4 linked regions of the Arabidopsis thaliana genome follow. The protein of the gene in region 1 purifies or fractionates together with the protein of each later gene. This does not show direct contact. Each region holds a gene or a part of one and is shown in the gene's direction. Other genes may lie near its edges.

Region 1 (7,934 bases):
TCGAGCACTTCATCAGCAAGCTTTGCCCAATACTCAAAAACTCCTGCACGAAGATTCTTTGAGACCCATTTAAGATAAGAAGAAGGCAAAGTACCAAGCATTTTGCCCTTGTGTTTGCCGAAGTCTATGATTGTGTCTCTGGCGGCTAGGGTTTCGATGATTTGAAGTTTTTTGATTAAGGGTTTAGACTGATTGGTGGAGAAGATACCATTAGATGAAGAAAGATTTCTTCTTGGTCTGAAAGATGATGATGATGAGATTCTGAAGATGGTTTTTGTTGTTACTGCAGCAGAGTGAGGACTGTGGAACAAGACCACCGAGAAACTCATTGTTGTGTCCCCAAAATATTGTCTATTTTTTCTTGAATCCTATAAAATACATTTAGGGGGTGTTATTCGTTAATGGATTTTAATAGAATTGAAATTCAACACTAATTTACTGTTATTCAACTAATGATTCTAAATCTAGCTTTAAAATCTAGTATTATTGGAACTCATATTTGTAAATCATGTTTAATAGATTTTAAAGTTTGGTGTTATTCAATTAAGATTTTAAATATTTCATTAAAATCCAATGTTATTCAAAACTAAAAGACTTGTAAAATCTTTGTATATTAATTGATTTGAAATGAAATCTCTTTGGAGTTTCATGAGTAAATCATTAGAATCAAAATTCAAGACATATTGCAGAGATTTTGAAATTCATACAAACATATTCTTAAAAGCAATATCAGAAAACAAATCTAAAGCTTAAAAAATTGACTTTAACTCCATAATATATTATGTTAGTCTATTTTGGTATCCAAAAAATCTTATTTGTTGTAGGCAACGGGAAGTTGATTAAACTGGAAAGGAGAATAAGTTTCTTTTGCTTCTCTATGGACATACATAGAAATTTTTCTTACATAAAATGGTAATATCTCTTTAGAAGAGAATGTTAAATTGTATTCAAAAGAAAAATATTCGTTTGAACATTAAATACAAAGGTTTGTAGAGAATATATGAATATTTAAAACAGTTCAAGTAATTAGAAAGTGGAAGAGCCGAGAGCTTTAAAGTCTTAACCCGAATAACAGTTGGTGTCATTCGTCGTACCGTTTGTCTACTTGAACTGGTTTCAAATCTACTTGTCAGTCCATCTGATTAGAGTAATGACTGAGTTTTTCTTGCCTTCATGTCTTCTCCCATCTATTTCTTTTCAGATACTATATATTGCTGCCTGTAACACATATCTTGAAAGAAACCTTTCGACGCGGTTTTGTTGTAGTTGTGATACTGATGCTACATAAAATGGTAATATCATCAAATGGTTGGTGTCTCTATGAAATATGATTAAGATCTTAGAAATGCATAAGATCAAACAACGAGTTAGAGCCACCACAATATGTAACCATGCTAAGATATATATATATACCATATCGTCTCTAAACATATAAATTTAGAATCAAACATTTTCAATGAAATCGCAGTTGATTTTTCAAGCCACACAACAACATAAAAACAAAGAAAATATTTAGGATTTGAGATATGGTAGAAAAATATGAGAGAGAATGATTATTTACATAATGAAAAGTGATTGAAGTTACCTTTTAAATGTAACTAAATTACATGAGTTACAATTCTAATTTGTTTGAATGACAATGAGTGAAGAAGAATATAATTAATACACAATTAGTATGATAGTTACAATTTAGTATTCAATGGTTGATTAATAAATGTGAATAAATTTATTGTTTTTGTGGGTTAATTGGAGATAAATATTATTCTATTTTTATTTTTGAAAAATTGGTTGTTAAAAATGAGACCTTATTTTTATATATACATGATTAAACTATTTTGAACTTGAATCCATTTGTTTTGGATTTACTCACTTTTCCAATGTTACTTATAGTTTCGCCAGTGGAATATAAGGTTAGAAAATATGAGAGTAAAAATCAGGAATTAGGACATGTAAAATCCAGAAATATCTGAGGACGGATCTCACGATTGATTATAAGATTCGCATTACATTTTCTCTTCATTTTTTTCAGATAAGAAAATTGGATTCTATCAATTTGTCGTCCTATTGTTCTTTTCTTGTTTGATATACAAATACGAGTCACTGATTTTTTTTAGTTGATTGGTAGAGTCTTAAAGGAAACATCAAATTCAGACAGTCCTTTTACAACCATTTCATCCATGTCGGCTCATTATTTCGCACCACAGAAGAATAACCCAAAATTATTAGAAAACTTGGACCACTATAAGCACTTGAACTGTGGTCGTGCACTGACTAATGTGAGCCCGTTTTGGTAATTCTCAGCTGTGTGCGTAATTGATGTCGGCGTCACCTTCAGAAACTTCGAAATTATGTGTGATACACCGTGTTTCATAAATTCATACACGTCATTTTAGATACAAAATTAGATATTTTCATTTGATAAAACCGAAAGAAATAATAAACTTTTTCTTTCTTGTTCTCATTTTAAGTCTCTCTTTATATCACTTTCTATATATATTGAATCATGCAAGGAATACACATAAAATACTTGTGTTCTTGTACTTGTTTGGTGACTCAAGCAAGACTCCCAAGCTATGGCGGAGAAGGTACTTTACCAAGATCTGAATTTTCATATTACTTCTCTTTTATTGATCATATCCATAATTACCCTCTAATAGAGTTACTAATTAAGGTAATAATGATCATGAAATTATATGATATGCACAAACAGGTAGTGATGATGAAATTGAAAGTGGATCTAAACTGTTCCAAATGCTACAAAAAGGTCAAGAAAGCTATCCGCAAATTCCCTCGTGAGTTTCTTTCTTTAATTTGAGTTTCTTTGTTCATTTGAATTATTGCGGGTTGAGAAGATTCTGAATCTTGATAAATGGATACGATTTTGTGGTATGTGTTGTTTTGCAAAAAAAAATAGAAATAACAGACGAATTGTTTGATGAGAAGTCCAACACGATCATCATCAAAGTAGTTTGTTACGATCCTGAGAGGCTAATGAACAAACTTTGCTACAAAGGAGACGGTTCTATCAAGTCCATCGTGATCCTTGAGCCACCCAAACCGCCTCAACCCCAGCCTCAACCACCTCAGAAGCCTACTGCCCCAGCCCCAGCCCCAGCCCAAGCCCAAGCCCCAGCTCTTGTTCGGCCGGCTCCGGTTCCTGTTCTTGTTTCGTCTTCCGCTCCTCAACCGATGCCGATGTGGCAGCCGTATCATTGTGGGCCGTATTACGAGGCCCAACAGTACCAATGTTATGGAAGGCCCGTTTACGAGAGCTGGGGAGGTGGACGACAATGTTGCCACGAAGATATGAACTCTCAAGGATGCTCCATCATGTGAAACACTGAACCAAGTCTCCTCCTACTCATATATAGACTATAGTATATACCAGCAAATAAATAACTACACGAAGTTATTTTTAATTGTCTTCGTCTTACCAGTATTTCTATTTCGAGTCCTCGTTTATGTATGTAAACACTACAGGGTTTTGTTTCTTGTGTATATCACGTTTTGGTTCTAATACAACTTTTATTTGCTCTTCTTTTCTTGGTAGTAAAATACAAATAGTAAGATTTTTCGCATAAAAATATAGTTTCTGTTAGAAAATAAAAGTATATTAGCACGAAAGAATGGAAACTAAAAACTCTGAGACCGGCCTCTCCAATGAGTGACATGAGTCGATGAATACTCAACTATTATGTTTTTACAGTTTACTTATCCACAGATGACACTGTTTCTTTCTACTGTGAAAAGAGCAGCCGTGGTGCTTACACCTCCACACGACACCGTTTAAACGGAAACTAAAAACGACGTGACGTTCTTGTCTGAAACACTTAAACGACGCTATAGTGTACTGTAACTCCAGAGAAGGCCTTATCTTTCTCCAATTCTCAAAACCCTCTTTAACACTCTTCCTCTAAGCTTTTTAAATCAATGGCTTCCACTTCCACACTTCTTCTTCCATCTCTCTCCTCTAAGAATCTTCACATCGCAGTCCCAATAAGAACCAATAGCTTCGTTCGTCGAACAACAAAGTTCTCAACAAAATGTTCGTCGAATCCAGAGTCAAAGGATCAATTCATCAATCTCACACCAGCACCTGAATCAATCAACACAACAAGCGCAGAGAAATTCCCAATAGAGAAACGAAGAAGATCAGAGATCATACGAGACAGAACACAAAGAGGAATCGAGAAACCAGAGCCACCAAACTTCGAAATCGGTTGGAAAAGAACAAAAGAGATAAACTTGGAGAAACCTAAAGGTTATGTAATAATGGATTTCTTAGAAAAGTTCGAAGCTTTAATGGCGAGAGAGTTTGGATCAAAGGAGCTTTTAGCTAAAGCTGGTGAGATTGTTGCAGAGAGAGCTAGAGAAGAAGCTGAGGTTTTGAGAGATGAAGGTAAAGTTGAAGAGAGAATGGTTACAGAGCTTTTTAGGGTTTTGAAATTGATGGAGATGGATTTAGCTATGGTTAAAGCTTCTGTTAAAGATGAAACTTTGAGTCAGAGGATTGAACAAGCTAGAGCTCGGTGTCGACAAGCTATTCTTGTTGCTAATTCTTTCTAATTCCTTCTTCTTCTACTTGCAAATTGAGTCAAAAGTCTATGAATTTTGTTTATAGTTTTACACAAAACAGAGCTTCTTCATCTGTAAAAGATCTTATTTTTTTGGTTCTGTAATCATCTCTGGATCATTCATCTGTTACTTTAATGGTAGAAGAAGGATTGAAGATGAGAGTCTCATGTGAAGAATCAAAACAAAGATTCATGCTTTTGGTTTTGCAATTTGTGAGGAAGCTTAAGGGTTTTTGGGAGGAAAAAACTTAATTAGTTGAGAAAATTTTACTTCCACTAGTTTCATATTTCAAGATATTTCACCAAGACTCAAGCTTTATTGTACACCACACATTAAAAATGCAAAGTTTAATCATTTTAACAAAAGCTTCACAAGCAGCAGTAGACAGCAACAATGGTGGCAGTCAGATTCTACGCTGTAGAGATGTCGCTACCATGTTTATGTCCATGCCCATCATCGCCGATTTCTCTTTCATTGTGTTCTCCGAGATTCAATCTTCTTAACACAACAAGCAGGAGACTAGGTTTGTCTAGAAACTGTAGAACTCTGCGAATCAGTTGTTCATCTTCATCTACTGTCACTGACCAAACTCAACAATCGTCTTTTAATGATGCTGAGTTGAAACTCATTGACGCTTTGATCGGAATTCAAGGCCGTGGCAAATCTGCTTCTCCTAAACAGCTCAATGTGTGTAAAAACTTTAAACTTTCTTTAATTTTCCGTCGTGTTTATGATTTGAGAGATTCTCTGTTGTAGGATGTTGAATCTGCTGTGAAAGTTCTTGAAGGTTTAGAAGGCATTCAAAATCCTGTATGAAATGTTTTCTTGTGAATCCTTTTATCTTCAAATTACCAAATTCTGTTATGTTTTGTTCTTTGACTCATTTGGTTGTCTTTTGGGGAATGTTGTTTAAATGTTTAGACAGATTCTGACCTAATCGAAGGTCGTTGGCGATTGATGTTCACCACAAGACCTGGAACTGCATCTCCAATCCAAGTCAGTTCTTCTCACACATTCATCATCATATCTCCATTTTTTCTAGATGATTGTAATTTGTGTGTAAGAAGAAGAGCAATGGAAGGATTTGTCTCTGCAGAGAACATTTACAGGAGTTGATGTGTTCACTGTGTTTCAAGATGTATACTTGAAGGCAACAAACGATCCTCGTGTTTCAAACATTGTTAAATTCTCTGATTTCATTGGAGAGCTGAAAGTTGAGGTGAGTTTCTTCACTAAAGTCTTTGCATCAAAAGACTGAGATGTTTATACTTTGAATTGTTTCATTTTACAGGCAGTTGCGTCGATCAAAGATGGGAAACGAGTTTTATTCCGTTTTGATAGAGCCGCTTTTGATTTGAAGTTCCTTCCTTTCAAAGTTCCATATCCAGTTCCTTTTAGACTTCTTGGTGATGAAGCAAAAGGTTGGCTAGATACTACTTATTTGTCGCCTTCAGGTAACCTTAGGATTTCTAGGGGAAACAAGGTAAATGAGTTTCTTGATTCTCAAAAAGAAAATTAAAGCTTTATAGCATTTTTATCCATGAGGCTGTATATTTGTAGCGCAGGGAACAACGTTTGTTCTTCAGAAAGAAACCGTGCCTAGGCAGAAATTGTTAGCCACCATATCTCAAGACAAAGGAGTAGCTGAGGTAATGTGTCATGCCTTCAAGAAATCTGAAAACAATCGATAGTTTCGGTTTGAAATGGAACCAATGGATCGTTTAGTATAAACACAGGCTATCGATGAGTTTCTTGCGTCTAATTCTAATTCCGCGGAAGATAATTATGAGCTTTTAGAAGGAAGTTGGCAAATGATTTGGAGTTCACAGGTCACTTCTCTGATAACTTTAGCTTTTGTCTTGAACAAGCACTTATATTCGTTTGGATAAGCGATTTTTCGGGTTTTGTGTTTGCAGATGTATACAGATAGTTGGATTGAAAATGCAGCAAATGGTCTTATGGGAAGACAGGTAAACATTTTATTAGAATGTCTTAGGTAGTCTATTGTTGCTTCAGCTGGCTTCGTTTAGCGAAATCGAGTATCTTATTCAGATCATTGAGAAGGATGGGAGGATAAAGTTTGAAGTTAACATCATTCCGGCATTTAGATTCTCCATGAAAGGCAAATTCATGTAAGTCTCTGTCTTTTAGATTAGTCATTTTGCTAACTTTTTTGTGATCTTGTTTCTTGACTGGTCTCATGAATGATTTGCAGAAAATCAGAAAGCAGTACATATGACTTGAAGATGGACGACGCAGCAATTATAGGCGGTGCATTTGGATATCCGGTCGATATAACAAACAATATCGAGCTAAAAATTCTGTAAGATCTCTCTATCTTCTTCTTCTACTACTTTCACAAATCACAACATATAATAATGCATTTGAATTGCTAATACAGAGATGCTTACTTTAATGTTTGTAGGTACACAGATGAGAAGATGAGGATAAGCCGAGGATTCGATAACATTATCTTTGTGCACATCCGAGAAATTTAGCTGCATTGTTCTATCAGAACCTCTTATTTGAACATATGAAAAAAAATAGTATGTAAGAAACTGTCAAATGTTTTACAACAATGGAAGGTGATAGTTTAAATTTTCTCTGTTCATTAGTTTTTTTGGATGTAACAGGAACCAGAAAAAACAAGAAACCACATGATATAATTTTCGCTACTAATGTCTAAATTAAGACAAAATTAACATTAAGAAAACTTTACTTTTTGTCTTAATCTTAAACAAATTCACTGAATATTTCTTTCTACAAAGAAAATACGAATATCTCACTAACAAAGGAAACTTACCACTAACAGCTTCTGGTGGCATTAATTACTCTGTAAATTGCCATTTTTTCACCGAGAGAAAACTAGAAAAACAAAACAAAACATGGAAACTGTAACATTCTAAAAGATTCATTGTTAACAAAACCAACAGAGAAACATAATACTGATTTTCCAGGATTTACTCCCTCAAATCTCTCCTTCAAATACTCTTCCTAATCTCTTCTGTTTTCATTTTGCTTGTTCCCTGCGAACATCTCTCTCTCTTCCTCTGTTTCTTGTTTTTTTGTCCTTTTCTTGATTTTTGTATTTTTTTGTTATGGATATGGACGAGATGAGCAATGTAGCCAAGACAACGACAGAGACTTCAGGCTTAACTGACTCTGTCTTGAGCCTCACGAAACGCATGAAACCTACTGAGGTTACGACCACCACAAAACCTGCCTTGTCCAACACGACGAAATTCAAAGGAGTTGTTCAGCAACAGAACGGTCATTGGGGTGCTCAGATTTACGCAGACCATCGAAGGATTTGGCTTGGAACTTTCAAATCCGCTCATGAAGCCGCTGCTGCTTACGAT
Region 2 (7,142 bases), on another chromosome or scaffold:
ATCTTTTCGTCCTATGAACCTTAAGGTGTATCAAGTTTCATGTTTGATTTTTTAATCAGGATGTTAGAGACTATATTTAACTTAAGTTGATCTAGACCAAAAGCAAACCTACGTCAAGAGAACCCTTCTTTGAAACACTTTGGTAGTTCTTCTGTATTGTATTAGAATTCAAAAATAATCAATCAGAGTACTTGGAACCATTTCTTATCTTTTTTTTAAGAAAAAATATGGTAGACTAACTGATCTTTCGATCAGTTAATGAAAGAGCCCAATGCAAAAAAAAATGCATGTTGGGTCTTTGAAAGAGTTCGAATCATTTTGATAATAATAAGTTCGAACTCTTTTACCGAGCAGGTCTACGGTTCGAGTCCGTATAGCCCTAACTAAGAAATTTATTCTAAAAAATCACATTAAAATCAAAATAATTGGATAAATTTTTTTACTTTTTTTTGTATTCTTTATTTCTAACAGGTTACTTTTAATTGCTCGGTTCATAAAAAAAATTTCCATATCATAAACCATAAGTCCTGGGGATCGTTCAGAATAAAACGGAAAATTTCATTTTATTTCAATGGAGCCAATCACTATCTATCGATATATCGAGATAGATACTTAATTTATAATTTAGAATAAACCTTTTTCTTCATTAATTTTCATAGTTGTAATTTTTTTATATGAATTTTCCTCGTTCACTAGCTACAATCAAAAAGTTCATAATACTTTCTTTTTTTTTTTGTATCCCCACTCAATCTTGGTTACTTTTTTTATCACACGGCCTTGTTTAAAAATAAAAAAAGAAATCTAATTAAATTCAACCAAAATTCAATCTATCTAATACTAAGTAAGATGAGTATGGTAAAGTCTTACTGGATTTTTTGATACGTCATCATTTAAAAAACGAAGAGATTTTTCGAAAAATTTTTTTAAACATAAACAGAAATAAAAAAAATTACTAGTTATTAATCAGATTAATATTATATTATTATATTAGAAACTATTAGTAATAGAAACATGGAACTATTAAGTAATAAGTGTACTGAAAATAAGAAATCAATAAATCTTAAAACGAGACGTCTACCACAACAACCAAACGAAAAAAAATGATTCGATTAACCTGAATTTTTGTTTTGACTCAAGAGTTCTATATCCCTTGCCCAATCCACTCCGATTGGAATTGACTAAGCGGGTATTTTTTCCACATTCATAGGAGTTCGTCTATGTTTCTGCTTTACGAATATGATATTTTCTGGGCATTTTTACTAATATCAAGTGCTATTCCTGTTTTGGCATTTCTAATTTCCGGAGTTTTATCTCCAATTAGGAAGGGGCCGGAGAAACTTTCTAGTTATGAATCAGGTATAGAACCGATCGGGGATGCTTGGTTACAATTTAGAATCCGTTATTATATGTTTGCTCTAGTTTTTGTTGTTTTTGATGTTGAAACTGTTTTTCTGTATCCGTGGGCAATGAGTTTCGATGTACTGGGGGTATCTGCTTTTATAGAAGCTTTCATTTTCGTGCTTATCCTAATTCTTGGTTTAGTTTATGCATGGCGAAAAGGAGCATTGGAATGGTCTTAGTTCGTTTACCGAATACTTGATACAATAATAAAAAAAAAAAAAGTAAAAAAAACCATTGAAACAATTATGAATTCCATTAAGTTTCCCATACTTGATCGAACAACAAAAAATTCCGTTATTTCAACTACGTTAAATGATCTTTCAAATTGGTCAAGACTTTCCAGCCTATGGCCGCTTCTTTATGGTACCAGTTGTTGTTTCATTGAATTTGCCTCATTAATAGGCTCCCGATTTGACTTTGATCGTTATGGGTTAGTACCAAGATCGAGTCCTAGACAGGCGGACCTTATTTTAACAGCAGGTACAGTAACAATGAAAATGGCTCCTTCTTTAGTGCGATTATATGAACAAATGCCTGAACCGAAGTATGTTATTGCTATGGGAGCCTGTACAATTACAGGGGGGATGTTCAGTACCGATTCTTATAGTACTGTTCGAGGAGTTGATAAGCTAATTCCTGTAGATGTCTATTTGCCGGGTTGTCCACCTAAACCAGAGGCTGTTATAGACGCTATAACAAAGCTTCGTAAGAAAATAGCTAGAGAAATCTATAAGGATCGAATTAGACCTCAACAGGGTAATCGGTGTTTTACTACCAATCACAAGTTTTTTGTTGTACGCAGTCCGCATATTGGAAATTATGATCAAGAACTACTCTATCCACCATCATCTACTTCAGAGATCTCTACTGAAACATTTTTTAAATACAAAAGTCCAGTATCGTCCCACGAATTAGTGAATTAGGGAGGCTTTTAGAGAATCAGAAAAAAATCTTCATAAATTAGAATTAACGGTAAATGTGAAATACTTAATTTTATATAAAAAAGGTGTGGGGGAAATAAAAAAGATGCAGGGCACTTTGTCCGTTTGGCTAGCCAAACGCGGGCTGGTTCATAGATCGTTGGGCTTCGATTATCAAGGAATAGAGACTTTACAAATAAAGCCCGAAGATTGGCATTCTATTGCTGTAATTTTATATGTATATGGTTACAATTATTTACGTTCGCAATGTGCCTATGATGTGGCACCAGGTGGCCTCTTAGCCAGCGTGTATCATCTTACGAGAATAGAATATGGTGTTAATCAAGCGGAAGAAGTCTGCATAAAAGTATTTACTCACAGGAGTAATCCTAGAATTCCATCCGTTTTCTGGGTTTGGAAAAGTACGGATTTTCAAGAACGGGAATCTTATGATATGTTAGGAATCACTTATGATAGCCATCCACGACTGAAACGGATCCTAATGCCCGAGAGTTGGATAGGGTGGCCTTTACGTAAGGATTATATTGCCCCCAATTTTTATGAAATACAAGATGCTTATTGAATGATAAAAAATGAGCCAATAGGATGAACTAAAAAAAAAGAGTTCTGCATTATGAACTTTGTATCGCGCACATAACTTAGTCAACTTTAGTCACATAACTGGGAATGAATAAATAAGATCGGAAAGCAATAAATGAAGGGGGGGATACAATTCTATTTCTATTGTATCTAATGAACCTTGGGGTATTTTTGCCCTTCAACTATAGTATACTATACATATAGACCTTTTTTTACTTGTTTGATTCAACGGAACTCATTTAACCTTTCCTTTCGGATATGTATTATGTATCAAGTATTATACATTCTTTTTGAACGGCTGGATTCACAACATGAACAAAAAAAAGAGAGGGGATAAAGCATAATTGCACTTTTTTTACTAAAGATACGTTTAATTTGAAGAATAAAAACTTATCAAAATTAATAAATCCTCTGCCAAGAACCAGATTTGAACTGGTGACACGAGGATTTTCAGTCCTCTGCTCTACCAACTGAGCTATCCCGGCGAAGGATCATCCTCGTTTTACGAATGGTGGCACAACGATTTCAAGTCCCCCGGAAAAAAGCTATGTCCACCATTAGTCTACTGAAGTATCAAGTATCATCTACTGAAGTATCATGCTCGTTTTCCTAATGGTGACACGAGGATTTCGAGTCCTCTGCAAAAAAGCTATGTCTACCTTTACTGAAGGATCATTATCATGTGACACAGGGATTTTAAGTCCCCCGCAATTAAGCTATGCCGACCATTACTGAGGTATCATCTACTGAAGTATCATCTTGCTTTTACTAATGGTGACATAAGGATTTTCAGTCCTCTACTAATGGTGACATAAGGATTTTCAGTCCTCTGCAACTAAGCTATGTCGACCATTACCGAAGGATCATCTTGCTTTTACTAATGGTGACACAAGGATTTTCAGTCCCCCGCAATTAAGCTATGTGTACCATTACCGAAGTATAATCTACTGAAGTATCAGTATCATTTTAATATATGACTTAGGTCTATGTCAATGAAAAGAAACTCAAAAGTAGTAAATTCAAAAAGTTGTGGACCGGGAATTTCTTGGATTTTATAAATAAAAGAAGACTTTCTAAGTTTGAAAATGAAAAATGATATAGATTATAAATAATTCAAATAAATAATAACGAAAAAAAGGTAAGGTGTCAACCTTTTCGGGGAGTAGAGCTGGGGATAGAGGGACTTGAACCCTCACGATTTTAAAAGTCAACGGATTTTCATCTTACTATAAATTTCATTGTTGTCAGTATTGACATGTAAAATGGGACTCTATCTTTATTCTCGTCCGATTAATTAAGTTCCATCAAGGATCTATCAGACTATGAAGTGAATAATTTTATTTTAATCAAGAAATATTATTTCTTAAACTTCGAATTGATTCACAACATTTTGATTTTGTTTATAAAAAAATAGAAATCGAGATTCAGGTCGTCATTTTTGAGATCGTTTTGTGTTACCTAAATTTATACAATATAGGTTTTTATCCTTCATCCTTTTTGATTTGAAGTTTCGATCGAAGGATTCCTTTATGAACACAAGGTAGTGAACTCCATTTGTTAGAACAGCTTCCATTGAGTCTCTGCACCTATCCCTTTTTTCGCGCTTTGTAAACTCCGGTTTGTTCGCGTAAACCAGGATTTGGCTCAGGATTGCCCATTGTTAATTCCAGGGTTTCTCTGAATTTGAAAGTTATCACTTAGTAGGTTTCCATACCAAGGCTCAATCCAATTAAGTCCGTAGCGTCTACCAATTCCGCCATATCCCCTTTTTTAGGATCTCATTATGATGTCTTTCCTTTTTTTTCTTATGCCGAAACCTCGGGATTCATTACATTATAGATACTTATTTTATGTCTTTGTTATCTTCTTTTATTTTTTTGAGCTCCATCCATATTGATTTAGTCTAATCAACAAAGATTCTATCATTTTTGTATTTGCAATTCAATATGGTTATATATTACATAACATATATATGTTCTTTTTTTTTTCATCTTTGGCTTAAATTTTCAGAAATAGTCGAACGGTCGATTCTTTTTTTTTTTTTTACTTTCATGAAAAGAAATTTATTATTATTATTATTGAAACTTAGAATTCTACAATGTGCAATGGAAAAAAATTATAAGTCTACTTCGTAAATTTGAAATTCTAATAATTCTATACTATTCTATGACTATATAGATATATATATAGAATTAAGGTTATGTTTTATTTATTTAATGATGAATGATAGTCACTATTTATGTGAGCTATATTCTGTTCTAGAATATATAGAATATCATTAATTCTAACTAGATAAGGAAAAATATTAATAGAATAGTTAATTGATACGATCTAGTAGTTTAGTGAATTTGTATGCATGCGCTATTTTATTTGAGCCCGCTTAGCTCAGAGGTTAGAGCATCGCATTTGTAATGCGATGGTCATCGGTTCGATTCCGATAGCCGGCTTTTCCATATTTTTTCGTTTTTTTTTACATGATTTTTAATGTACTTTCAAAATCAAAGAAGATTGAAAAGACTTCTTTGACCTTTTTCCAAGAGTTACCACTCCATTTATATTATGTCATATAAACTTCCATATTAGGAATATATATTGGGTAAAAGAGTTTGATCTTTGCAAAATTAATCAAGAAAATAAAGGAAAATTTTTGTGATTTAGTTGATTTATATATATTGTATATACAATAAAAAAAATCTGTATATTGAGAGAATATATCTTCTTACTCTTTGTATTCCAATAGTGGAGTGTATTTCACGTCATTTATCATTATCATTTAGTTCAGTTTTAATTTTATTTAGTTTTGTACAATTTCAATCAAAAAAGGAGTCTTTATGTCACGTTACCGAGGGCCTCGTTTTAAAAAAATACGCCGTCTGGGGGCTTTACCGGGACTAACTAGTAAAAGGCCTAAGGCAGGAAGCGATCTTAGAAACCAATCACGCTCCGTAAAAAAATCTCAATATCGTATTCGTTTAGAAGAAAAACAAAAATTGCGTTTTCATTATGGTCTTACAGAACACCAATTACTTAAATATGTGCGTATAGCCGGAAAAGCCAAGGGGTCAACAGGTCAAGTTTTACTACAATTACTTGAAATGCGTTTGGATAACATCCTTTTTCGATTGGGTATGGCTTTGACTATTCCTCAAGCGCGCCAATTAGTTAATCATGGACATATTTTAGTTAATGGTCGTATAGTTGATATACCAAGTTATCGCTGCAAACCCCGAGATATTATTACAGTGAAGGATGAACAAAACTCTAGAACTTTGGTTCAAAATCTTCTTGATTCATCTGCCCCTGAGGAATTGCCAAACCATCTGACTCTTCACACATTCCAATATGAAGGGTTAGTCAATCAAATAATAGATAGGAAATGCGTCGGTTTGAAAATAAATGAATTGCTTGTCGTAGAATATTACTCTCGACAGACTTAATAAACCTAACTTAAGTAAAAAAAAAAATTACTAAAAACAAGAGTTCGGACAACTCCCCTTTTCCATTAAAAATAAAAAGGCACAAGGTAAGGGATTTTGTCAAAGAATATTTTTCCTATTCATGTATCATAGATTGGTAGGGAGATTGGGATCCCTTGTTTGCTCTTCCCAGCATTTTCCATATGAAAGAAATTAGGAATAGAGAATCTATTTCAAAATCAAAACAAGGTAGATCTTATATCGATTCTTTTTTATTGGATTTGATACATTGTGGTCAATCACGTAAGATTGGTGAATTTGTTGAAAGTACGGAAAGAGAGGGATTCGAACCCTCGGTAAACAAAAGTCTACATAACAGTTCCAATGTTACGCCTTCAACCACTCGGCCATCTCTCCGACATCAAGATTATGACTGAGTATCTGGGTGAATAGCGAGTTATTCATCGTTTTTTAGATTATGGTTAATAGATACCCTTTTTGACCGGAAAATTTGGAAGTAGATAGAAGGTTTTTTTTAATGAGTCCGCTTTTATGTTAGTTCGTACTATACAATTCCTTTGTTTGTGAGAAAATTTTCTCACAAAAGAAAAGGTAAAGGAAATAAAAAGAGTTAGAGAATGGATTACTACCTATGCCAAGATCGCGTATAAATGGAAATTTTATTGATAAAACCTTTACAATTGTAGCCGATATCTTATTACGAGTCATTCCGACAACTTCCGGAGAAAAAGAGGCATTTACTTATTACAGAGATGGTGCGATTTGATTATCATTATTTTTTTTC
Region 3 (5,579 bases), on another chromosome or scaffold:
AAGAAGAACAATCAAAAAGAGAAGAAACAAGACGGATAGAAATTGCAGAAACTTGGGATAGCTTCCTATTTGCTCAAATAATAAGAGGTTCTCTCTTAGTAACTCAATCAATTCTTAGAAAATATATTATATTACCTTTATTGATAATAATTAAAAACAGTGTCCGTATGTTATTATTTCAATTTCCCGAGTGGTCCCAGGATTTAAAGGATTGGAAACGTGAAATGCATGTTAAATGTACTTATAATGGGGTTCAACTATCCGAAACAGAATTTCCAAGAAACTGGTTAACGGATGGTATTCAGATAAAAATCCTATTTCCTTTTTATCTTAAACCTTGGCATAAATCTAAATTTCAAGCATCTCAGAAGGCTCGACTAAAAAAAACAAAAGACAAAGGAGAAAAAAATGATTTTTGTTTCTTAACAGTTTGGGGAATGGAAACCGAACTACCGTTTGGTTCTGCCCAAAGAAAGCCTTCTTTTTTTGAACCTATTTCTAAAGAATTAAAAAAAAGAATCAAAAAATTAAAAAAAAAGTCTTTTGTGGTTTTAAAGATTTTCAAAGAAAGAGCACCCATTTTCCTAAAAGTCGCAAAAGAAACTAAAAACTGGATTCTCAAAAACTTTATTTTTATAAAAGGAATTTCAAAACGAAATCTAATTCCATTATTTGGCCCGAGAGAAATATATGAATTAAATGAACCTAAAAAAGATTCAATAATAAGTAATCAGATGATTCATGAACTATCTGTTCAAAATAAATCCTTGGAGTGGACAAATTCTTCACTTAGCGAAAAAAAAATCAAAAATTTGATTGATAGAAAAAAGACAATCAGAAATCAAATAGAAGAAATTTCAAAAGAAAAACAAAACTTAACTAATAGTTGTACCAAACTGCGTTATGATTCTAAAATAATTGAGTCATCAAAAAAAATTTGGCAGACATTCAAAAGAAAAAATACCCGATTAATTCGTAAATCCATTTTTTTTTTTAAATTTTGCATCGAACAAATGTCTATAGCTATTTTTCTAGGTATCATTAATATTCCAAGAATTACTACACAACTTTTTTTTGAATCAACAAAAAAAATTCTTGATAAATATATTTACAAGAATGAAGAAAATGGAGAAAAAAAAAAAAATACTCTTTATTTTATTTCGACTATAAAAAATTTAATATCCAATAAAAAAAAAATGAGTTATGACCTATGCTCTTTATCACAAGCATATGTATTTTACAAATTATCACAAATTAAAGTTAGTAACTTTTGTAAATTAAAGGCTGTTCTTGAATATAACATATGCATAACATCCTTTTTTGTTAAGAATAAAATAAAGGTTTTTTTTCAAGAACACGGAATCTTTCATTATGAATTGAAAAATAAAACCTTTTTGAATTCCGAAGTAAATCAATGGAAAAACTGGTTACGAAGTCAGTATCAATACAATTTACCCCAGATTTCATGGGCTAGATTAGTAACCCAAAATTGGAAAAATAAAATAAATAAAGATTCTCTAGTTCTAAACCCAAGTTTAACCAAAGAGGATTCATATGAAAAAAAGAAATTTGATAATTATAAAAAACAAAAATTTTTTGAGGCCGACTCATTATTAAATCCAAAACATAATGTAAAAAAAGATTCTATATATAATCTTTTTTGCTATAAATCTATTCATTCTACAGAAAAAAATTTTGACATGTCTATAGGCATTGCCCTAGATAATTGTTTAGTCTCTTCTTTTCTAGAAAAATATAATATTCGGGGTATGGGGGAAATTCGGCATAGAAAATATTTGGATTGGAGAATTCTTAACTTTTGGTTTACAAAAAAAGTAACTATTGAGCCTTGGGTTGATACTAAGAGTAAAAAAAAATATATTAATACTAAAGTTCAGAATTATCAAAAAATTGATAAAATAACGCAGACGGATCTTGCTAATAAAAAAAGAAACTTTTTTGATTGGATGGGAATGAATGAAGAAATACTAAATCAGCGTATAACAAATTTTGAATTTTTTTTCTTTCCGGAATTTTTCTTATTTTCTAGTACATATAAAATGAAACCATGGGTCATACCAATCAAATTACTTCTTTTAAATTTTAATGAAAACATAAATGTTAATAAAAAGATCATTCGAAAGAAAAAAGGTTTTATACCATCAAATGAAAAAGAATCCCTTCGATTTTATAATCTGAATAAAGAAGAAAAAGAATCGGCCGGTCAAGTAGAACTTGAATCAGATAAAGAAACAAAAAGAAATCCCGAAGCAGCTCGATTAAACCAAGAAAAAAATATTGAAGAAAATTTTGCAGAATCAACAATAAAAAAACGTAAAAATAAAAAACAATACAAAAGTAATACAGAAGCGGAACTTGATTTATTTCTGACAAGATATTCGCGTTTTCAATTGCGATGGAATTGTTTTTTTAATCAAAAAATTCTCAATAATGTAAAAGTATACTGTCTCTTGGTTAGACTAAACAATCCAAACGAAATAGCGGTATCTTCTATTGAAAGAGGAGAGATGAGCCTAGACATTCTAATGATTGAGAAAAATTTCACTTTTGCAAAATTAATGAAAAAAGGAATATTGATTATTGAACCTGTGCGTTTGTCTGTACAAAACGATGGACAACTTATTATATATAGAACCATAGGTATTTCATTGGTTCATAAAAATAAACACAAAATAAGTAAAAGATACAAAAAAAAAAGCTATATTAATAAAAAATTTTTTGAAAAATCCATTACAAAATATCAAAACAAAACTGTAAATAAAAAAAAAAATAATTATGATTTCTTTGTCCCTGAAAAAATTCTATCCCCTAAACGACGTAGAGAATTTCGAATTCTAATTTGTTTCAACTTAAAAAAAAAAAATGCTAGGGATACAAATTCAAGATTTGATAAGAATATTCAAAACTTGACCACCGTTTTGCATAAAAAGAAAGATCTTGATCTTGATAAGGATAAAAATAACTTAATTAATTTAAAATCCTTTCTTTGGCCCAATTTTAAATTAGAAGATTTAGCTTGTATGAATCGCTATTGGTTTAATACTACTAACGGAAATCATTTCAGTATGATAAGAATACGCATGTATACGCGATTTCCAATTCCTTAATCATAAATACTTTTTACTATATATAATAAGTTACGGTATATGAAAACAACTATATGCACAAATATGAGGGATTGTTTTAAATTAAATCTTTATACATGAGATTAATTTAATCAATCACATAGATACCAATTATAGCGGATTCATAAATAAATTAACAGAATCCTTCTTTTTGAGATCTAAATTTAGATTTTTTTCTAAAATGAAGAATTAAGAGGTTGATAATTAAATTAAGATCCTTGTACAAAAAAACTACCATTATTATTACTGATCAGTAAAATTAATATCTTTCAATTCATATTAAAAGGGGAAGGATTTCTTTTTATGATAAAAAATATAGTCATTTCATTTGAAGAACAAAAAGAAGAAAGCAGGGGATCCGTTGAATTTCAAGTATTTAGTTTCACTAATAAGATACGAAGACTTACTTCACATTTGGAATTGCACAGAAAAGATTATTTATCTCAGCGGGGTCTACGAAAAATTCTGGGAAAACGTCAACGACTGCTGGCTTATTTGTCAAAAAAAAATAGAGTACGTTATAAAGAATTAATTAATCAGTTGAATATTCGGGAATTAAAAACTCGTTAAATTCAAAAATTGTGAATTAGTGAATTTTTTAGATCTTGAATTTTTTGATAAACTTCTTTATTCAGAAATCTAATTCATGCCAGAACGAATCAAGGAAAAACTTATGAAGAGACCAGTTACAGGAAAAGATCTTATGATAGTCAATATGGGACCTCACCACCCATCCATGCATGGTGTTCTTCGCTTAATTGTTACTCTAGATGGTGAGGATGTTGTTGACTGTGAACCCATATTAGGTTATTTACACAGAGGAATGGAAAAAATTGCAGAAAACCGAGCAATTATACAATATTTACCGTATGTAACGCGATGGGATTATTTAGCTACTATGTTTACAGAAGCAATAACAGTAAATGGACCAGAACAATTGGGAAATATTCAAGTTCCTAAAAGGGCCAGCTATATCAGAGTAATTATGCTGGAATTGAGTCGTATAGCTTCTCATCTGTTATGGCTCGGCCCTTTTATGGCAGATATTGGTGCACAGACTCCCTTTTTCTATATTTTCAGAGAACGAGAATTTGTATATGATCTATTCGAAGCTGCCACCGGTATGAGAATGATGCATAATTTTTTTCGTATTGGAGGAATAGCGGCTGATTTACCTTATGGTTGGATAGATAAATGCTTGGATTTTTGTGATTATTTTTTAACAGAGGTTGTTGAATATCAAAAACTCATTACACGAAATCCTATTTTTTTAGAACGGGTTGAAGGAGTTGGGATTATTGGTGGGGAAGAAGCAATAAATTGGGGTTTATCCGGACCAATGCTACGCGCATCCGGAATACCATGGGATCTTCGTAAAATTGATCGTTATGAGTCTTACGATGAATTTGAATGGGAAATTCAATGGCAAAAACAAGGAGATTCATTAGCTCGTTATTTAGTACGACTTAGCGAAATGACAGAATCCATAAAAATTATTCAACAGGCTCTGGAAGGACTTCCAGGGGGTCCCTATGAGAATTTAGAAAGCAGGGGCTTTGATAGAAAAAGGAATCCAGAATGGAATGATTTTGAATATCGATTCATTAGTAAAAAACCTTCTCCTACTTTTGAATTATCAAAACAAGAACTTTATGTAAGAGTTGAAGCTCCAAAAGGGGAGTTGGGAATTTTTCTCATAGGAGATCAAAGCGGTTTTCCTTGGAGATGGAAAATACGACCACCGGGTTTTATTAATTTGCAAATTCTTCCTGAACTAGTTAAAAGAATGAAATTGGCTGATATTATGACGATACTCGGTAGCATAGATATAATTATGGGAGAAGTTGATCGTTAAAATGATAATTTATGCAACAGCAGTCCAAACTATAAATTCTTTTGTTAAATTGGAATCTTTAAAAGAGGTCTATGGACTCATATGGATATTTGTCCCTATATTTTCTCTTGTATTGGGAATCATAACAGGTGTACTAGTAATTGTGTGGTTAGAAAGAGAAATATCTGCAGGGATACAACAACGTATTGGACCTGAATACGCCGGCCCGTTGGGAATTCTTCAAGCTCTAGCCGATGGGACAAAACTACTTTTCAAAGAAAATCTTCGTCCATCTAGAGGAAATACTCCTTTATTTAGTATTGGACCATCTATAGCAGTTATCTCTATTTTACTAAGTTATTCAGTAATTCCCTTTAGCAATCACCTTGTTTTAGCGGATCTCAATATCGGTATTTTTTTATGGATTGCCATCTCAAGTATTGCTCCTATTGGACTTCTTATGTCAGGATATGGATCAAATAATAAATATTCTTTTTTAGGTGGTCTGCGAGCTGCTGCCCAATCGATTAGTTATGAAATACCATTAACTCTATGTGTTTTATCAATATCTCTACGTGCGATTCGTTGAAACAGAAACG
Region 4 (9,290 bases), on another chromosome or scaffold:
GACCTTACCACTTTTGTTGTAAATGTATTGTTTCCGATTCTAATAAGATTTTCTTTTCATTTGTCAGTTTGTTTTCTCCGGCTTGTCTCTTCTTACGAGATCTCAATCGGAATCCCGCTTGCCATCACTTGATCTCCCCATCCCATCGTTGGCTTATCTCCAATCTTTAACCAAAGTAATATCTTCGTCGACTACTGTGAAGAGGACCTCAACTAGGTCTGAGGCGGAGCTTCTGCTAGGAATCATGGTTTAGATGATGAAAATTTGAAGATACCTTCTTGCAGTATCTTCGAGATGGAAGCGGTGGAAGTCAATCGGATTTGCAATGGCGAACTTTGCAGAAGGAGTTTGGTGGTGGATTCGTGAAGTCAAAGGCGGAGTTTGCACCGGATCGTAGATCTTGGGTGGCACCGACCTTGTCTCTCTCTCCTCCTCGCGTATCAATATGTGTTGTACACGCGACACGTTAGTTTCTTAATCTTATCATATTTGATTTTTTTTTGCCGTTAAGGTTTATTATTTATTGCAAATTATGAGAATTGTTACATAGACGATTTTACAACGGACAATTCCTTCCAACCCTTATTAGATCCACGACAGCGACAACTCCTCTTCTTCTTCTCTATGCCTTTGATGGACACCTTCAATGATCTTCTCTGCTTAGAATCCTGACGAACGGCTATAATTGTGCATCGTTTGAGATCTCCTGCACACTTACCTCTATTAATCTGCAAATTTGCTAATAAATTGTATTATTTGGGATTCGAACCCCAGACCGTCATCTAGGCACATATCGCATATGTCCCCGGTGTCGGATGAAAGAGAGGCCATTAATCATGTCCTATTTGAGTTAGGCCTTCTCTGTTTGTGAACTTAGATTACCTTTTTGGAAAGCGAAGGAATTAAGAGGCCGCAAAGAGGTCATCCGGATCTTCTGTTGAATTATGTGGTTTATCAGAATGGCCCGTAACTCAAAGGTATTTGAGAACAAGGATACCCATCCTGCTAACACGTTTCAACATGCTTTGAAGGAAGCAGAATCTTTCCAAGTGGCATGAGCCCGCAAGAGGATCCTTTCTCCACATGCATGTATCCCATCATTCCATAGAGACACTCCCATTTGACACTCTAGTTTGCTAGGTACATGGATCTTGGGAGGATACTTGCACCTTAACAATATTGGTTGGATTGTCCATATTGGTTTAAAGAGCTTTCGCAGTTGACAAATATATCCAAAGACCTAATCATCAACAACATACCGAAACTCCAAACACCGATTTAAAATGTAAGAGCATATCAATACTGAAGAATGAGAAATTGTAAGATAAAATAGAAAAAGAAAATCATCTCATACCTCGTAGTAGTGGAATGATCAGCCAAAAGATGCAACTTGATGGTTGAGCAGAGAAAGAAAGGTAACCGATTGTGCGGTGAGGTCATAGACTCCAACTAGACAGAATTGGGATTCCAAAAGGACCCAGTGTGGCCGAGGAAAGCTCAGTAATCGCCAATGCATGTATTCAGTTACATCATTATATTGGTCTTTTCCAACTTGTTTGGTGTTTTAAACTTTTGTGTAATAAGACATCAAATATGTAAGGTAGAGAGACTAGAGAGAGTTGATCATGTAATTACCATAAACCCATGGAGGACTAACCGGAACGTACGTGAGAGAAACTTGTATATCTTCATATCTCTGGTAGGTACTACCGAACTGGTTAGGATTTTCACCCAATGTTGCTTCCTCTGATCGTTAGAGATCGAGTATTAGACTGTGGGCTTCCAACCTAAAACCAATTGGCAATAGGTGGAGAGGCTCATATCTTATATATACCACTTAAGATCCTACTCAACTTCCGATGTGGGACATTGTCCCTAATACGCCCCCTCGAGATGATGGCTCTTCTAGCCATTGATCTCGATATGTTTGGGCATGGATCGGCGGGCCAAGTATTGGGCCGAACCGATGTGGATCGGGTTGAGTATGTGCGGATCGGGCTCTGATACCATAAAACATCATAAAAATCCAATACAGAGTTTTGATAGGAAACACACAAAAACATAAGACAAGCTCACATAAAAAATCTACCAAACATTTCTTCTTCCATGGCCATTCCTAAGCGAAAGAGATCCAAGACTCGAAGACACATCCTCAAGCAAAGCTTCATTCATGGCATCTCTTAGATTCATCTCATCAGTAGCATCATGGAAACATCCACGTGTCCTAGACTCACTTATCAGTGTTGCCCAAATCGAACCACTTAGAGCCAAAGTTGTCTCGTTCCCAATCACCCATAAACAGTGTCTTGCTCGAGTCAGTGCCACGTTAGCTCTTTGACGGTTGTTAAGAAATCCGACTTTTCCATTACCGTTACTTCTAACGGTGGAGATGATGATAATGTCTTCTTCTCCTCCTTGAAAACCATCTACGGACCGAACATTCAAAGTGAATTGCTGACCTGATAAGGAACTGTACTTATCTCCGATTTTCTCTTGGATTGCTCTCATCTGTCCTTTGTAAGGTGAGACCACTCCGACACTCACCTTCATCCTCCTTTCACATGAAACTTTGTAAAGATTTGATATAATTTCAGAAATGACAGCAACTTCAACCATGTTTTTGGGACTATGTCCATCACCAAACTCTTCTTTTCCACGTCCAACATTGATAAAAGAAAATGAGTCAAACATGTTTCCTTTAAGAAACCTCTTTTGATAAATACTTTCTTTAACATTTTCAGCATCTTTGATTCTCCCACCATAAAACTCCTTGTTGGGGAAACGACTAATAGAAGGATGCATTCGATATTGAACATCAAGCAAGTGTTTGTTGTGACCAAGCAAAACCAATCTCTCAAACAAGCTTCTTCCGAATTTCGCCTTTTCACACATCTCATTATGAACCATTGCAGGCAATTGAAACTCATCTCCTATTAAAATGGCGTGACGCAGTCCCGGAAGTTGCAATGCAGCAACTGATTCACATTCCTTAAGCTGAGCCGCCTCATCAACCACAAGCAGTTCTACATTTCCTGTCCTTTCCACGTTCATTTCCGCAGCACCCGAGGCTGTGCAGAGGATAATATCCGCGTTTTGAAGACAAAATTTCCTAATATCTTCGTTTTCTAACATGTCTGGAATCTCAAAACGTTTTGGAAGTAAGCGTAGAGCCTTGAGGCAATCATCACTGAGTCTTTTGAAGCAATCAAATCTGAAATTTCCTTCCTCGAAATCAACCCTAGAAGAATTCTCCCTCAAGAAATATCTGATACGCTGAAGAGTTTGACGAGAAGCAATCATTTTCTTCACATCTTCATATGGAAGGTAAACCTTGGGAAGATGTGTATACAAATCAACGATGCATGTCTTCACTTCTTCACTTAAGCTATTAAAATTCTTCTGAACGAATTCTCCAAAAGTAGGAATGTTAACAACAACTTCTTCCCTTTCATCTTCTTCATTCATTCTTTCAACTTCTTCTAACTCGTAGACATGTCTCTCATACTTTCCCTCGGGGTTTTCAAGAAACTGTATCAGTGACTCTAATCTCTGCATCCATCCAGAAAATGGTGAAAACAGTTTACCAAGCTTACCAATACGCTCATCAAGAAACACATCGAGAAGAACATGATCGTTCTTGTTAATCCCCATTCTGTCCCGGTTTCCGGATAAAATGATATTCCCTAGCCTGTAAGTAGCATTTTCCGCTGTCGAGTTTTCCTTAAATAAGGATAAGAGCCTTGATGTAACTTGTACAATAGCTGTGTTTGTAGGAGCACACACAACTGTCTTGCACCTTAGTTTGAGAAGGGCAAAGAGAAGAGTCGCGACCGTCTTTGTTTTGCCTGTTCTAGGAGGTCCCCATATCAGTTTCACACTGTTCTTATGGGTACAGTTTCTTGTCTCAAGGCAGCCCAAGATTGCATCCTCTTGGGAAGAGTTCAATTTCGTTGAACGGATTATATCCAAAACAAGGTCAGATCTCCCATCATTTTCAGAACAAAAACATTGTTCTGTACCCTCAGTATTAGCCTGAAGCACACTCTTGGTTAGAGTCGATATGTCAGCTTCGTTGTGCAAAGCATTCCAAATTCGAGTGTTTGTTGTTAAAGTCATTAGAAAAACACCGAAGCTATAGTTCTCAAGAGGTGATATCGATCTAGACAAATGAACAGAGATTTTAAGATTTTAAGATCACCTCTATAGTTCTCAAGAGGTGATATCGATATTAGACTGTGGGCTTCCAACCTAAAACCAATTGGCAATAGGTGGAGAGGCGCATATCTTATATATACCACTTAAGATCCTACTCAACTTCCGATGTGGGACATTGTCCCTAATATCGAGAACTCTGATCGCCTGAAACCGAGAATCTGATTCTGGACTATGGAAAGTTTTGAAATTTGGCCGGAAAATTGAAACCCTAAATTTTTTTTGTTTTGAGAGAGAAAACCCCTAAAAACCCAAGCTCTGTTTGGTGTATCTCTTTCTTGGGAAACAAGTTCTTTTATTGCATTTTTTTTCCCTATCCTCGTATTTTCCATACAAAATCAATGTTAAATTTTAAGTTTCAATTTTGTCCGCAAATTAGAAAACTTGGCAAAGTAACCTTCTTAGTGTAAAATTTTTAGAATGCCCTCAACCAAATTTTAAAGTGTTTAAAAAAAAAAAATTAAAGTGTTTAAAAAAAAAAAAAAAACACGAAGAGCCAAGTAACCTTATCCATTCATACGCCTCAAACAGAGACGACAGCGTTTGAAGTAGAAGACAAAGGACAGTGCAAGAATCTCTTATCAACATGAGAAAACCATCAAGCAAAAAAAAGAAACACAAAAGCTATCTCCGAGGTTAGAGCAATGGCAGCTGTGAACTGCCATTTCTTCCAGCTATCACGACATCTCAAACCTTCTAGGCCTTCTTTTTCCTGCTCTGCTTCTCAACCTTCACAAAACAACATTAAGGTAATCACATCACCATCAACATCATCAGAATCAGGAGTTTCCAGACAATGCAGCTTTGATATGATAATGCTTCTAATTTCCCTATTAGGTAATCATAAATGGAGCTGCTAAGGAAATAGGTAGAGCGGCTGTGGTGGCTGTGACTAAGGCTAGGGGAATGGAGTTAGCTGGTGCTGTCGATAATCATTTTGTTGGCGAAGATATTGGCTTGGTGACTTAGCTTAAAACCCATCTGTATACTATTCCAACTGGTTGGTTTATCTATTGATTGACTCCCTAACTCTAATGTTCTTGCATAGCTGTGTGACATGGAGGAGCCTTTAGAGATACCTGTAGTGAGTGATCTAACAATGGTGTTAGGCTCAATATCTCAGGTGCCATTATTTTCTTAACCCTCCCTGTCTCTCTGTTCTCACCAGATTTAAATTCTACGGAACAACCTAAACGAATGTCTTTAGTAGGGAAAAGAAGTCGGAGTTGTGATCGACTTTACAGACCCATCAACAGTGTATGAGAATGTAAAACAGGTAACCAATTAACTTCTCTTTTTGTCAAGCTCATATCCAGTAATATGGAAACTATCACTGTGTTAATGATTTCTGAATCTATCAAGGCAACGGCATTTGGGATGAAGAGTGTGGTGTATGTACCTCGGATTAAGCCAGAGACAGTATCTGCGTTGTCTGCACTATGTGACAAGGCCACCATGGTGAGCACAGGGTGAGATGAGATACTCGCAGATTATTCATTACGTTCCCTTTCTTTGTGAGGTCGAGTCTGTCCTGAAGCAACAATTGTTAGACGAGAGATGGTTCACTAAAATCTAATTTCGTCTCTGCTTGCGTTATAGGGATGTCTTGTAGCACCAACTCTATCCATAGGATCTATACTTCTCCAACAGGCTGTGATCATGGCCTCCTTCCACTACAACAATGTAGAGCTAGTGGAGTCAAGGCCTAATGCAGCGGTATGCCATAAACAAAAAAAAAACAATTTTAATTTCCTAGAATTCTGGGTTTTAACTTTGACACTTGTGGAATGTTGATCAAGACTAATTAAGGCATATAATACTTCAAAGAGGCTAGTTAAGAAAGAACAATATAGAGCTTTTTCATATAGAGCGCATATGCAGCTTTTGACATTGAATCACAAGAAGTGACTTAAACGATACCTATGAAATGCAGGATCTTCCTTCTCCTGAAGCTATCCAAATTGCAAACAACATATCAAATCTTGGTCAGATCTACAACAGAGAGGATAGTTCAACTGATGTTCAGGTAAAGCATGAATAAGCTTGCAGATATGGACCAGTTAGGGATCCTGTACATATTATACATAAACAAAGCTGAGTTTTCCACATATTTCCAGGCAAGAGGTCAAGTAATCGGAGAAGACGGGGTTCGTGTTCACAGTATGGTTCTACCAGGACTACCATCTAGTACACAAGTCTACTTCTCAAGTCCAGGAGACGTAATTAATAATACTTGACCTCTTGTTAGATCACTCAAAATCAAACTGAAAATTGGATACTCTATTTTAAAATTTAGGCTACATAGCTCATTAAAATTCTTCTGATACAAAATGCTGTCCACAGGTTTACACTGTTAAACATGACATAATTGACGTAAGGTCCCTAATGCCCGGCCTACTCCTAGCAATCAGAAAGGTGGTACGCCTCAAGGTAACATGGAAACAAGCAAGAATTCTCCATCCATTAATCTCTTACTGTTATCTAATCACTTGCCATTATTCTCTTTGGTTTTCCAGAATCTGGTTTATGGCCTCGAGAAATTTCTGTAGGAACTGAAGTGTTTCACCAGTCAAAGATAACATCATCATGAACAGCTCATGTCATCCTGCAAGACATATGAAGTTAGGAAATAGGTTGATATTTTCTTTCATCATGATACGAGTGTTCAATATTTAAGGTGAGAACACTAACAACGTCGAACAGTATCCCAAGGATTTCATATTAAACAACTACTACATTACTAATAGATTTACGGCCTGGAAAATAAGATGTTCAATGCTTTTGGTTACTGATATTTTGAAGTTTAGGTTCACAAGTAAGCTTGTATATTACCAGTGCTACGTAGTCATCCACAAGTAACATGACATTCAGAAGTCTTATTACTAAATCAGCAAAGAAAGTAAACAGTTGGCTTTGGTCCAATTAACGTTCTATGAAATGTACAAATTCCTCCCATATTCAGATGGAACAGCGACGAAGCATAATTACCAAGATGAAAAGTCTGTCAAAGTTGAGACTGCACAATTTTAACTTCAACGAAGCCCACCAAAACAGAACAAAATAAGCAACAAATCCTTTAATCCATGGGAACAATCTAACCTCTGAATTTCTCAGCCATAGCTCCAATCCAGGCTCTATCTTTATCGCTATATGCATATCCAGCAGTAGAGGCCACCAGCAAAAACCCATTCACTTTCTGCGGTTCATTTGTATTTTGTACGAGAGGTTGCACAAAAAGAGAACGCGTCCCATCAGGAAGTATATCCAAAGATAGTGCAGAACCTAAAATAAAACTGAAAGTTAACATATATTTCAACACCATAGAAACAAAAGAGTAATATTCCATGCATTCAGGTATACAATAGATCGACAATGCTGAACAAATTCAAGACCGTGCGATTGAAGAAAACACAATACCTGCATACTGAGGGAAATAAAGGGTCTCCTTCACATCAGCCAAGCCAATCTCATCCACTTTTTTCTTAAACCAATCATGAAGTTGAGCCTTTGACATTTGATCTGGACAATTCCAGTACCCGCGAACACAAAGCTCGCCTTGAACCGATATCAACTGAACAAAATACAATCTTTCTCAACTAAGGAACATATCAAAGATCAAACAAACCCTTATCCAAGAGAGTACACCATACCACAGCTATAGTACTTGTATTCCTCAACAAAACATACGTTGCCCATGCTAAATCCTCTTTCAAAGAATCTCCAATATTTGATGATATCACAAAAACCTGCTCTCCTTCTTCAGGGAGACTTCTCTGCTCCACTACAGAACCCTAAACACACAACCAAACAACACCAAATAAGTGAACAACAACAACAAAAGTTTTTCTTCACAGAATCTAAAAGTTATGAATTTACCTTAAGGAATTTTCCAATGTAAGGTAAAGCTATTGAAAATGCAGCTAGTGATAAACCCAAAGCCTCTGATCTCTATCACCAAAAAATTCACAAAAAATGCTAAAGTTCATAGCTTTAAATAGCAAAAACACTGTGAAGCGAAATTGTTACTAATTACCATTTGAGATTCACTGATTGGAGCAGAAGCTGAGAAGTGGTTAAGAAGAAGAAGTGATCCAAAGCCGTACCCGATCCATCTCGGTAGATAAGATTCGTCAAACCCAGGAATTCCTACAGACGCAGACACAAATCAATTTCAAATCTTTCTCGAAAATAGTTGGGAAAAATCTGAGCTTTGAAGTGGGGAAGGAAGAAAATACCAAAAGTGAAGCGAAGAACAGAGAGATTGAGTTGTTGATCAGATGTCTTTGATTGTGGAGAATCGTTCTCTGTACGAGCGAAGATTCGTGTTGACCTTTGGGCGCGAGGTTGTAGCGCGAATTTAGGATGGAACGGGAAATTACAAATTTGAATACTCATCTCTCTCTCTTTCAGATGTCTTCGAGTCGAATAGTTTCTGTATCCGCCATTGATGATTTCTCGAAGAACCTCTCTGCTCAGTAAGATAGAGGCCCATTAAGAGCAGGCCCAGTTGTTAACGTCTCCAATTATTAAGTTAATTTTCAAACCAAAATTGTTACTTTTGTAACTGATTTTGAAAATTTCACAAACATTTTATGTAATTTATTTACAAAACGGGATTGCTAAATTTTCCCGCCATCTCTAATGTTTTGTGTTTAAGAAATCAAAGTTCAATAGTTCCACAAAATGCAATGTTTTAAGAAATTATGGAATCATGTAAATATTTCGAGAATCTAGAACTATTATTATTGTTTTTACACTAATTATGTATATAAAAAGGTTAGAACATATGATGAGAAAAAATGTTTCTTAGGATAGGATATATGATCAACACATGAATCTGTAGGTTGTAAGACTTTTTTTTTATAAATCATATATATGAAAGGAGGTTAACTCTCTCCCACAACTTGACACATCAGCACATAAGAGCTTGCCACCTAGACTTCATAAAATAAGTAATACAGAATTAGTAATTAATTCAACATAACAACTAAAATAGGAGGATATAATTAATCAGAACTTGAACCATCACTCTTTCTACATTTTTTTAATTCAATATATCCTCTTTAATTTTAAGATCC

The links.
Region 2: the proteins of CRR41 (region 1) and ndhJ purify together in Arabidopsis thaliana (affinity purification with mass spectrometry, with the first as the bait; one study listed by BioGRID). This does not show direct contact.
Region 3: the proteins of CRR41 (region 1) and ndhH purify together in Arabidopsis thaliana (affinity purification with mass spectrometry, with the first as the bait; one study listed by BioGRID). This does not show direct contact.
Region 4: the proteins of CRR41 (region 1) and CRR1 purify together in Arabidopsis thaliana (affinity purification with mass spectrometry, with the first as the bait; one study listed by BioGRID). This does not show direct contact.

Annotation. Positions count from the first base shown.
Region 1 is NC_003070.9:18,930,412-18,938,345, forward strand, and holds CRR41 (potassium/sodium hyperpolarization-activated cyclic nucleotide-gated channel protein), read left to right. Parts: upstream 1-3,887; 5' UTR 3,888-3,930; coding exon 3,931-4,566; 3' UTR 4,567-4,888; downstream 4,889-7,934. Other genes in the region: AT1G51080 (golgin family A protein), read right to left, coding at 1-329; AT1G51090 (Heavy metal transport/detoxification superfamily protein), read left to right, coding at 2,574-2,585, 2,711-2,792, 2,915-3,336; AT1G51110 (Plastid-lipid associated protein PAP / fibrillin family protein), read left to right, coding at 4,969-5,262, 5,332-5,385, 5,497-5,571, 5,672-5,794, 5,867-6,058, 6,141-6,224, 6,312-6,404, 6,492-6,545 and 3 more; AT1G51120 (AP2/B3 transcription factor family protein), read left to right, coding at 7,680-7,934. UniProt on the Arabidopsis thaliana protein: Required for both formation and activity of the chloroplast NAD(P)H dehydrogenase (NDH) complex of the photosynthetic electron transport chain.
Region 2 is NC_000932.1:44,439-51,580, reverse strand, and holds ndhJ (NADH dehydrogenase subunit J), read left to right. Parts: upstream 1-2,427; coding exon 2,428-2,904; downstream 2,905-7,142. Other genes in the region: ndhC (NADH dehydrogenase subunit 3), read left to right, coding at 1,218-1,580; ndhK (NADH dehydrogenase subunit K), read left to right, coding at 1,647-2,324; rps4 (ribosomal protein S4), read left to right, coding at 5,753-6,358; photosystem I assembly protein Ycf3, read left to right, coding at 6,990-7,115. UniProt on the Arabidopsis thaliana protein: NDH shuttles electrons from NAD(P)H:plastoquinone, via FMN and iron-sulfur (Fe-S) centers, to quinones in the photosynthetic chain and possibly in a chloroplast respiratory chain.
Region 3 is NC_000932.1:121,433-127,011, reverse strand, and holds ndhH (NADH dehydrogenase subunit 7), read left to right. Parts: upstream 1-3,819; coding exon 3,820-5,001; downstream 5,002-5,579. Other genes in the region: rps15 (ribosomal protein S15), read left to right, coding at 3,450-3,716; ndhA (NADH dehydrogenase subunit 1), read left to right, coding at 5,003-5,555. UniProt on the Arabidopsis thaliana protein: NDH shuttles electrons from NAD(P)H:plastoquinone, via FMN and iron-sulfur (Fe-S) centers, to quinones in the photosynthetic chain and possibly in a chloroplast respiratory chain.
Region 4 is NC_003076.8:21,165,347-21,174,636, forward strand, and holds CRR1 (Dihydrodipicolinate reductase, bacterial/plant), read left to right. Parts: upstream 1-4,701; 5' UTR 4,702-4,856; coding exon 4,857-4,961; intron 4,962-5,049; coding exon 5,050-5,172; intron 5,173-5,260; coding exon 5,261-5,335; intron 5,336-5,422; coding exon 5,423-5,488; intron 5,489-5,574; coding exon 5,575-5,670; exon of another isoform or gene 5,671-5,811; coding exon 5,812-5,928; intron 5,929-6,132; exon of another isoform or gene 6,133-6,145; coding exon 6,146-6,238; exon of another isoform or gene 6,239-6,281; intron 6,282-6,287; exon of another isoform or gene 6,288-6,329; coding exon 6,330-6,431; exon of another isoform or gene 6,432-6,555; coding exon 6,556-6,642; exon of another isoform or gene 6,643-6,728; coding exon 6,729-6,761; 3' UTR 6,762-6,812; coding exon of another isoform or gene 6,813-6,817; 3' UTR 6,818-7,000; downstream 7,001-9,290. Other genes in the region: AT5G52080 (F-box associated ubiquitination effector family protein), read left to right, coding at 1,897-2,004; AT5G52090 (P-loop containing nucleoside triphosphate hydrolases superfamily protein), read right to left, coding at 2,086-4,116; HCF208 (chaperone (DUF2930)), read right to left, coding at 6,813-6,817, 7,312-7,494, 7,630-7,783, 7,863-8,003, 8,089-8,160, 8,246-8,358, 8,448-8,607; AT5G52115 (ribonuclease H superfamily polynucleotidyl transferase), read left to right, coding at 8,975-8,988. UniProt on the Arabidopsis thaliana protein: Dihydrodipicolinate reductase (DHPR)-like protein that may not function as DHPR in lysine biosynthesis. Required for both formation and activity of the chloroplast NAD(P)H dehydrogenase (NDH) complex of the photosynthetic electron transport chain.